2 linked regions of the Ovis aries genome follow. The protein of the gene in region 1 interacts with the protein of each later gene in a pairwise test. Links are inferred from orthologs where the notes say so. Each region holds a gene or a part of one and is shown in the gene's direction. Other genes may lie near its edges.

The links. The genes of interacting proteins can lie anywhere in the genome.
Region 2: the proteins of OTX1 (region 1) and VWC2L interact in binary tests that used the Homo sapiens proteins (3 or more experiments, as listed by UniProt). The two-hybrid records come from large-scale screens. The link is inferred for Ovis aries from reciprocal best matches to the Homo sapiens genes OTX1 and VWC2L.

The regions. Positions count from the first base shown.
Region 1 is NC_056056.1:45,201,364-45,205,543, reverse strand, and holds the start of OTX1 (homeobox protein OTX1), read left to right. Parts: upstream 1-1,233; 5' UTR 1,234-1,342; intron 1,343-2,029; exon of another isoform or gene 2,030-2,108; intron 2,109-2,469; 5' UTR 2,470-2,538; intron 2,539-4,092; 5' UTR 4,093-4,180. UniProt on the Homo sapiens protein: Probably plays a role in the development of the brain and the sense organs. Can bind to the BCD target sequence (BTS): 5'-TCTAATCCC-3'.
Region 2 is NC_056055.1:216,577,741-216,581,388, forward strand, and holds part of VWC2L (von Willebrand factor C domain-containing protein 2-like), read left to right. Parts: intron 1-759; coding exon 760-908; 3' UTR 909-3,648.

The DNA.
Region 1 (4,180 bases):
CGGGGGCTATATTTCGTTTCTAGCTTTAAATCTCTGCGCATCTCGGGGGCTCGGAGCCCAGGGCCTCGCGAACTATTCCCCCGCGGGGGCCTGCGCGAGCCTAATATGTGTCCCCACTCGAGTCAGCGCTGCGCTCTGCGCAGTTTCTTTTCCTGTTAAGGCTTTATCTTGTTCGTGTTTTTCCTTTTCTCTCATTCTTTTATTGTTTTCGCTCTCTCTTTCTCTTGCTTTTGTGAATGGGCCGCGGTGTCTTTGTTCTGGAGAGAAGCGCCCGTGTCGCTGACTTTTGTGAACCAGAGAAGGATCTTGTAAAACCTTTTCTCCTTCATACTCCCCCCCCACACCCCTCCTCTTTTGCCCCTTTGATTAGATGTTCCCTCATCGTCAAAAAAAAAAAAATGTAATTTCGTTAGTCTGGCGGCCACTTTCTTTGAACATTAGCTCGCTTTCAGCTCCAACTTCAATTAGAAGGAGTTGATTTTGAGAGATCAACAAAAGAACCGACCAAAGCCTTATTAAAGGTCCTAAGAAGATCTCCCGGGTTCTTTGAGAAGCAGTTAAGGAAACAGTGTGCCCTCCATCATATTCTGTTACCGTATTTTATTCGGACTCCAAAGGAAAGTGTCGCTTGGGGGAGGGGAAGCACTTTGATGAGCGGCGGCCGCGGCCCCTTTTCACTCAGCGGGCTCCCCCGTCCTTCTCCGCCACCTCCTCGCCCCGCGCCCGGTGCGTTCTCGGTGCCCTACCCCGCGGCCCCGCAGCGCCGGTGCTCCCCACTGCGAAGCGCCCGGCGGCTCCTAGACTCGCCCTCACACTTACTCTGGTTCAAACTTTTCACTCCGCCTGTTGAGGTGGAGGGGAGGGGGCGGGGGGGAGATTAAGAAGAAGCGGTAGGAATTCCTCGAAAGGGGGTAAGTAAAGTCGGCCTAATATTCAGGAGGAGGTGCCATTTAAAAGAATTGCATTACTCAGCGTTGGGGCGCAAACACTTTTTTTGCGCTTTGAAAAGTCCACCCAGGTAGACGTGTTTTGAGAAGTTTGTTCGACTGGGAAATGGGCTTCGCCAGTACGAACTATCCGGGGAGATCGCTCAAGGAGGCTCCGGCGGCATGAAGGAAGGAAACTGAGGGCAGAGTCTGTGGCCACGTTTTCCACTAGATTGTCCCCTAGTAAAAGGAGCCAGTGTGAAAGACAAAGTTTTCTATCCAAACCTTTTGATTCAGAAGTACAGTGTATGTGTAAAGGGGAGGGGACGCTGGGAGCCGACATTTCAAAAGAAGCTTTCAGGATTTGCAAACACCTATCGTGGGGACTGGAAACTCCAGGAGACGTCGAAGAGCAGGTAAGTGGCCGTGCCTCCCTTGCGGGTGCGGCTCAAGGGCACTGGAGTCCTGAGGCGCCGAGGCGGGATCTGCGCGCTCGGGTCTGCTCCCGCTCTCAGCAAAGTAGCCCGGACCAGCACGAGTTGCCCGCCGCGTGCGTCTGCGGGTGATGGCCCGGTGCATGAAGACTCTGGGGCCCGCGGATGGCCCGGTGCATGAAGACTCTGGGGCCCGCGGCGTCGGGAGAGGGGCCGGAGGCCGGTTCCCCTCCAGCCCGCAGCTCCCGGCTCCTCGCGCCCATCGGGTGGCGTGCCAGAGAGCGAGGGAACCGGTTCTCCAGCACCTCGCCTCCTCTCTGCCACTCCCTCCAGGGCGCCAAAAGGGCGAGAGAAGGGCGGGGAGCCCCGGGGCAACCTCAGGGCCAGCGTTTCCCTCCGCGGCCCGGGCTCCCGCGCGGCGCTCGCCTTGCTCGTCTTGCTCTGCGCTGCGTTTGCCAGTCTAGCCCCGGAGTTAGCGCGCGACCGGGGCGGGGCGGGCGGGCGGTGAGGGCGGGGTGCAGGGGGCGGGGGAGGGCGGGGGAGCGCGGAGGTAACCCCCGGCTCGTGCTGCCATTGCCCGGCTCCCTGTCACTCAGCCCGCGCGGGGCCGGGGATTGGCAGCCTAGCCCCGTTACGCACTCACCTCGCGTTCACATACCCGGGGAGGGCAGTAGAAAGGTGATCAATCTTCATCAGGCTACATTTCCAATCACCTAAACAACCCGGCGAGACAAGCCACTCCGACAAGGTAACTCGCTTGATTTATTTAGTTTGCAAAGTGCCTCTGCAGGACTTCCCCAGCCCCCACCGCCTCCACGCTGCACGGAGTGCCACGGCAACCTCGAGCCACCTCCCAGCTCTGCCCCTCTTACCCCCACCTTCTCCTTGCGGCCCCCTCGGTGCGGTCCCGGGTGAGGCACTGTGTCGGGAGCGTGTGGGGCTTTGCAAACAAAGTGTCTGTGCAATAAAGTGAAACCTGGAAGGACACGCACAAAGCCACTAGAAAGAAAGAGAAAGGGAGGAGGGAAGTTGGGGAAAGAAAGAAATCCCGCGGCTCCCTGACCCCCCGCCCGGGCCCGCGGTAATTCCTGTGCCGCTCTGTTTTGCAGGTTGGCCGTCCAGAGGGTCTGTGTGAGGGCGAGAGGTAGATGGTGAGCGGCCCCGGCAGCTGAGGGCAGGTAAGGAGAAAGCCGCTGGCCGCCCGGGACTCTGGGAACGCGTCGTGGCTCTTGCCCCCCGCCCCCCTCAAATGGGTCCCCGCTTCCCCGGTCCCTGGCATGTGGGGGGCGGGGCTGGGAAGCCACCTGGCTCCCCTCTTGCTGAGCGGAGGACCCCGGAGCTCCGCGGCGGCCCCGCACCCCTCCCCCGCCTCCTCCGAAGTAACCCAGCTAAAGTGCTAAGTTTGAAGAAAGTCTTTGAAAACTCACCATTGCAGTCTAGCAGAGTCGCCACAGCTGAGTCCCATTCTCCCTTGGCCCCGGCTCTTTCCCTTTTGTCGCCTTCCCTGCAAACCGAGTTTTCCCGGCCCAGGCCGTGGGTCCCTGGGGAGAGAAGCGGGAGACTTCTCTAGCTCTAACTTCTTTCTTTCCCTGAACTCTTCTAGCCCGGGTCCCAGGTCTGCTTTAAGTTCCTGTGAAGCGGGCTAAAGCGACAGGTCCTCTGGGGTCTCCGTCCCACTCTTCCAGCGCTACTTCCTGACTCCTGATTGTAGCACCTCCGTTTGGGGGGCAACCTGGGGAAGCCAGGCGTCGACCTTCCTGCCCGGGGCAGCGCGAACTACGCCGCAGAGGCCTAGTTCTCTAGTCTGGATCGGGTCCTCGGGCTCTGGTTCAGCTAGTAGAATAATCCGGAAGCGCACCAGACCTATTGCACTGAGGCTTCCCAAATCCGCCAGACCCTTGGGGCGCTGGTCAGGTCACCTTTCGACCCCGGCCGGGACCCCATTGTCCGCAGCCAGGACTGGCTTGCTCTGGGGAAGCACGGCCTGCGGCTGTGGCGAGGTGCGGGTGATCCCGGGCGGCGTGTTTGAACCGCCACCTGTACGGTGGCGCCTTCTGGTCGCCTCGGCCGGACCTGGGCTCGAATCGGTGGTAGAAGTGTGGGTGGGATTCCGGGTAAGCAATCTCTCAGCGGCCAGGCACAGAGAGGTAAACTGGTAGAGCGGCTGTGGGACCCAGCCGCGGAGACTCTGGAAGGATGTACTCAGTGAGCAATGCGTCCCGGAGAGGCCCAGGTGCCGCGAGCCCTCCGCTGTGCCTCACCTTGGCTCTCTGGAGTCTACCTGTCCGTTCCACTTTCAAAAACATTTGAAACAAAACGAAACAACCCCTCATGCTCTGGGTCTCCTGCTGCCTTGAGGTCGAGGGGATGTTTGCTTGTGTGGTGTGATGCCCTCTCCCACCCGAACAGATTTTTGCCTAGTCTTGGGACCTAGCGCACTCTGCGTTTTGGGCTCTGACCTCCCAAGGTTGCCCCCGATTTTAACCTCTCCTCACTCCTAGCGTCGCCCTACGAGTGTCTGTCCCATTCCAAGCCCGAAAAGAAGTGATAATGATCCAGAAATTTTACTTTTCAAAGAATCTGTGGTCTTCGGGCTAAGGCCTTATAGAGCCGAGTTCTGCACAGATCCATAGCCTGCGTCACCTCCCCATCCTGTGACTCCTTCCTCCGGCAAGACCAGGAAGCAGTGGTGGCTTGGAATGACAGTTTCGGTGTGTCATTTGTCTCCATAGGCCGGGCCCCCAGACGCAACAGAGCTTGAAGGACTGCGCAGTGGGAGCCCCGCACTGCGCCTGGCCCCCGGCCCCCTGGATCCGTCGG
Region 2 (3,648 bases), on another chromosome or scaffold:
ACAAGCAAGTGACATTTTGAGCAAAGTTTTTCTGAATCTGAAAAAGTAAAATTCCTGCTGACTTTCAAAAGCCAGCCCTTTGAGTCATTCTTTAAAATATATATATATTAGATAGCCAGCAGATTAAAAGAACTCTTTTTATAAAAATCAAATGAACCTCTAACAAAGTTTGTTTGGGACATGAATAAATCATCTGGTCATGAATTATTCATTATTATCAAGAAACAGGCTGGGGATTCCAGGAATCCCTGGACTTGGGGAGGTGCTGAAACCAGGGAGTGAGCAAGTTCACTGTCTCATACCTACTCTGGGAAGGGAAAGGCCAGGCCACAGGCACAGACAGTGATGCTGACCATGCTAGACCCTCATTCAGGTTTCAGGGGACACTCTGGCAGTCTTAACACTCAGAGAATAAAGCAAATAGACTTTAATCCATATCTTACTTTAGAAAAAATGCTTGTACTCAGTAACAGATATTAAGACTTTTTTCTCTTTTGAGCATTGGTACTTTTTTTTTTTTTTAATGCATGACACATATGTAGAATAAGAGCTCTGTGCAAAAGATAGCAGAAGTTAAAAGCTTGCATTTAAGGGAGATGACTAGAAAATTCCTTAAAGATATGCTGGTAAGAGTAGTCTGACCTACTCATTCATGGCTTTGGGGATTGGATTTTTTTTTTTTAACTGAGGTGGGAGAGGGAAACAAAAAAGGGAGTCTCTCAGACCTAATCAACTAATCAGCTTATATATGTGTTTCAGGTCCAAACTGCTTTGCAGGAACGACGATCATTCCGGCTGGCATTGAAGTGAAAGTGGATGAATGTAACATCTGTCACTGTCACAATGGGGACTGGTGGAAGCCTGCTCAGTGTTCAAAACGCGAATGCCAAGGCAAGCAGACTGTGTAGAGGCGATTCCCACCCGACGACGAGCTCTTAGGAGACGAGGCCATGGCTTCCACACAGCACATCTTCAAAACAAGACAGAACAAACAAACTCCTGCCAGCTACAACAGGGTCACCAGCAAAACCTTTTAGGGTTGACAAAAGTGAATATTTTACTAAGAGGACATTTCTCTCTTTCTTTCTTGCTATACAAAATATACATAGTATACAGCTATTGAAACCGCTTTTGTAATTATCCTTGCTTGATGGTGACTTGACCACTGGATTTCTGGAGCAAAAAGAAAGAAATAGCCTTGAACAGGCTTCTTCTCTGGTGACACCTCTGGCCTGCCAGCTCACCATCTACCGACTTACTCCACTTTTACTCTTCTGTAAACATGGCATTTTTCTCTTGCAGTACTTCCTTTTTTGCTCTTTAGAGTCTAAGGGGCCAAATTTAATTGCACAGGAAGGTTTTGAGTTGTGTCAAACTAGCTTCCAGTAAGCGGTGCCAGGGTAAGGACCCTTCCTGATTAGGAAGATGCAAAAACATGCAGCCAATCACTCCCCTTGAGTGAATCTTGCCGTGCAGGGGAGAAGAGAGAGGTGCACTGAGAGGGTCCACTGCTGGGCTAGGTGGGGAACTGATGCTCCGTGCATTATGCGAGGGCTCACAATTCGATTCTTACAAACCACACATTTCATTCACAAAACCTTGAAACTGCCAATCAAAAACTAATATGTGAAGAATACCATGAGCTTGACTAAAGAATCCAAAGGGAGACAGGTATCCAAAACTGCAACATTAAACACTAGGCTTTCTCATGATGTTGAATTTAATTTCAGCTTATAACAAAACACACTCTAAACCCACTCTGTCACCTGGCACAATAAATACCAGAACCAGGGTGAACAGCCCCACTGTGAATCTGAAGCCTTCTGAACACTTTTGGCTCTTGAGTTCAGTTCTGGCTGAAAGCCAGTACTTGTACACAGGCAGTTTTTCTGGTATGAGACTGTGTTTGCCATGTTATACTAATGACCACTCAGCCCTCTGACTAAAACACAGATTCAGGACACTCTTTCCACCTTAAGTGCTGATTTAAATTAAAGATTAGGGTAGAGTGGGTCTTGCACAATACAATTCCATTTGTTGAACATTTTTTTAAATGTATATATTAGATATTAAGCAATTAAAGTGAACCTTTGAAGAGTCTCAAGGTTGCCCTGGCAATGCTGCTAGTATAGTAACAGGAAAAAAAAACAAAACACACACACACACACACAGGGTATCTAATGCCACCTCGATTCAAGTGCACACTGAGCAGTTCTGAAACCACACAGCATAGCTAGTCGCTTATTTCACTCTCCTGTCTTGAAAACCCTGACACAGATCTGGTAGGGTCCTTGAGGAACCTTGAAGGTTATCTTCATTATCAATGTTCTGTCCTTTTCTGCTCCCACTCCTACCTGGCCTTGGCCATAACTCCAGCAGAGTGATGCCTTCCTGGGCAAGGTTTCTCAGCCTCAGCACTATTGACATTTGGGGCCAGACAATTGTCACTGGGAGCTGTCCTGTGCTTTTTTTACGATGTTGAGCAGCATTCTTGTCTTCTATTCACTCAGTGCCAAGAGCAGCACCCCTAATTGTGATAAAAGAATGTCTCTGAACATTGCCAAATGTACCCAAGGTGTTTGGGAGGGGGCAGAATTTCACCTGGTTGAGAACCAGTGGTCTAGAATAATCAGTAGAGAGTGGTTTTCTGCCAGGCAAGAGCTGGCTGCGGCTGTGGCTCAAGGAGCCTCCGAGCCCTTGGGGACAGGCAGGATCAGAAGACCTGAGATTCAAATGGAGTAAGGCCCCACCGCCACATGGTCACAGGTCTGCCCTCTGGGCATACATCTCTCTAGTCTCACTCACTGGGTTTCCCTTTAAAATTGCCAAGCCTCTCCTCCCTGGAAGCACCTCCCATCATCAAGAAAGAACTGTCATTTCCAAAATTAATGTGTTGACAAGTTGGACCTGACACTTCTCACATACACTGCACTTGTGTTATGATACAAATAGCCAGGCCAGCATCATAGGAGGGAGCGCATCAAGCCGCCTTTCCTTAGAACACCAATTTGCACCAAGGTTGGTGCTTTTCCGTTACCACCCCAGAAACATCATATAGACAGCCATGAATCATTCATGAACAATTCTGCATGATTTATTCGCACACTCCAAAGTAAAGGCACTACTCCACACTTCAGTGTATGTCTAGACAGAGATGTGTTACAGAGCTTTCTTTGCCCTGAGGTTGCCTATTGCCAGCTTCAAAAATCTACACTCTCAGAAAGAAATAATAATAATAAATGACAGGAATAAGGTTTGAAACCCAGAAACATCATTAATAGAGCCATGTAGCATAGTACCCCATCTATTATTAAGGAGTTACTCTGTCCTTTTTAGGAAACAGAAGGAAAGAGCAACAGGGAAGCCAGGGTACAGGCGTTTTGCATCAAAGTCTTGGCTCAGTGATAGTCACTGCAAGAATTTTCAAGAATGGAGTATAATACCCATAAAGAAACTCTCTTCAGAGAGCTTGCAGAATGAAGGCTGCTCAGCGGCCTGTTACCAGCAAGAGAGAGGGATTATTTTGCTGTTCTTGGATTTTTCTTTTCTCATAGTATCTCACTACAAGATGTTTCCTTTAAGACTTTGTAGCACTGACATTCCCACCCACACCCACACCCTCCCACTGCCCCTGTAGGGAGAGATGAA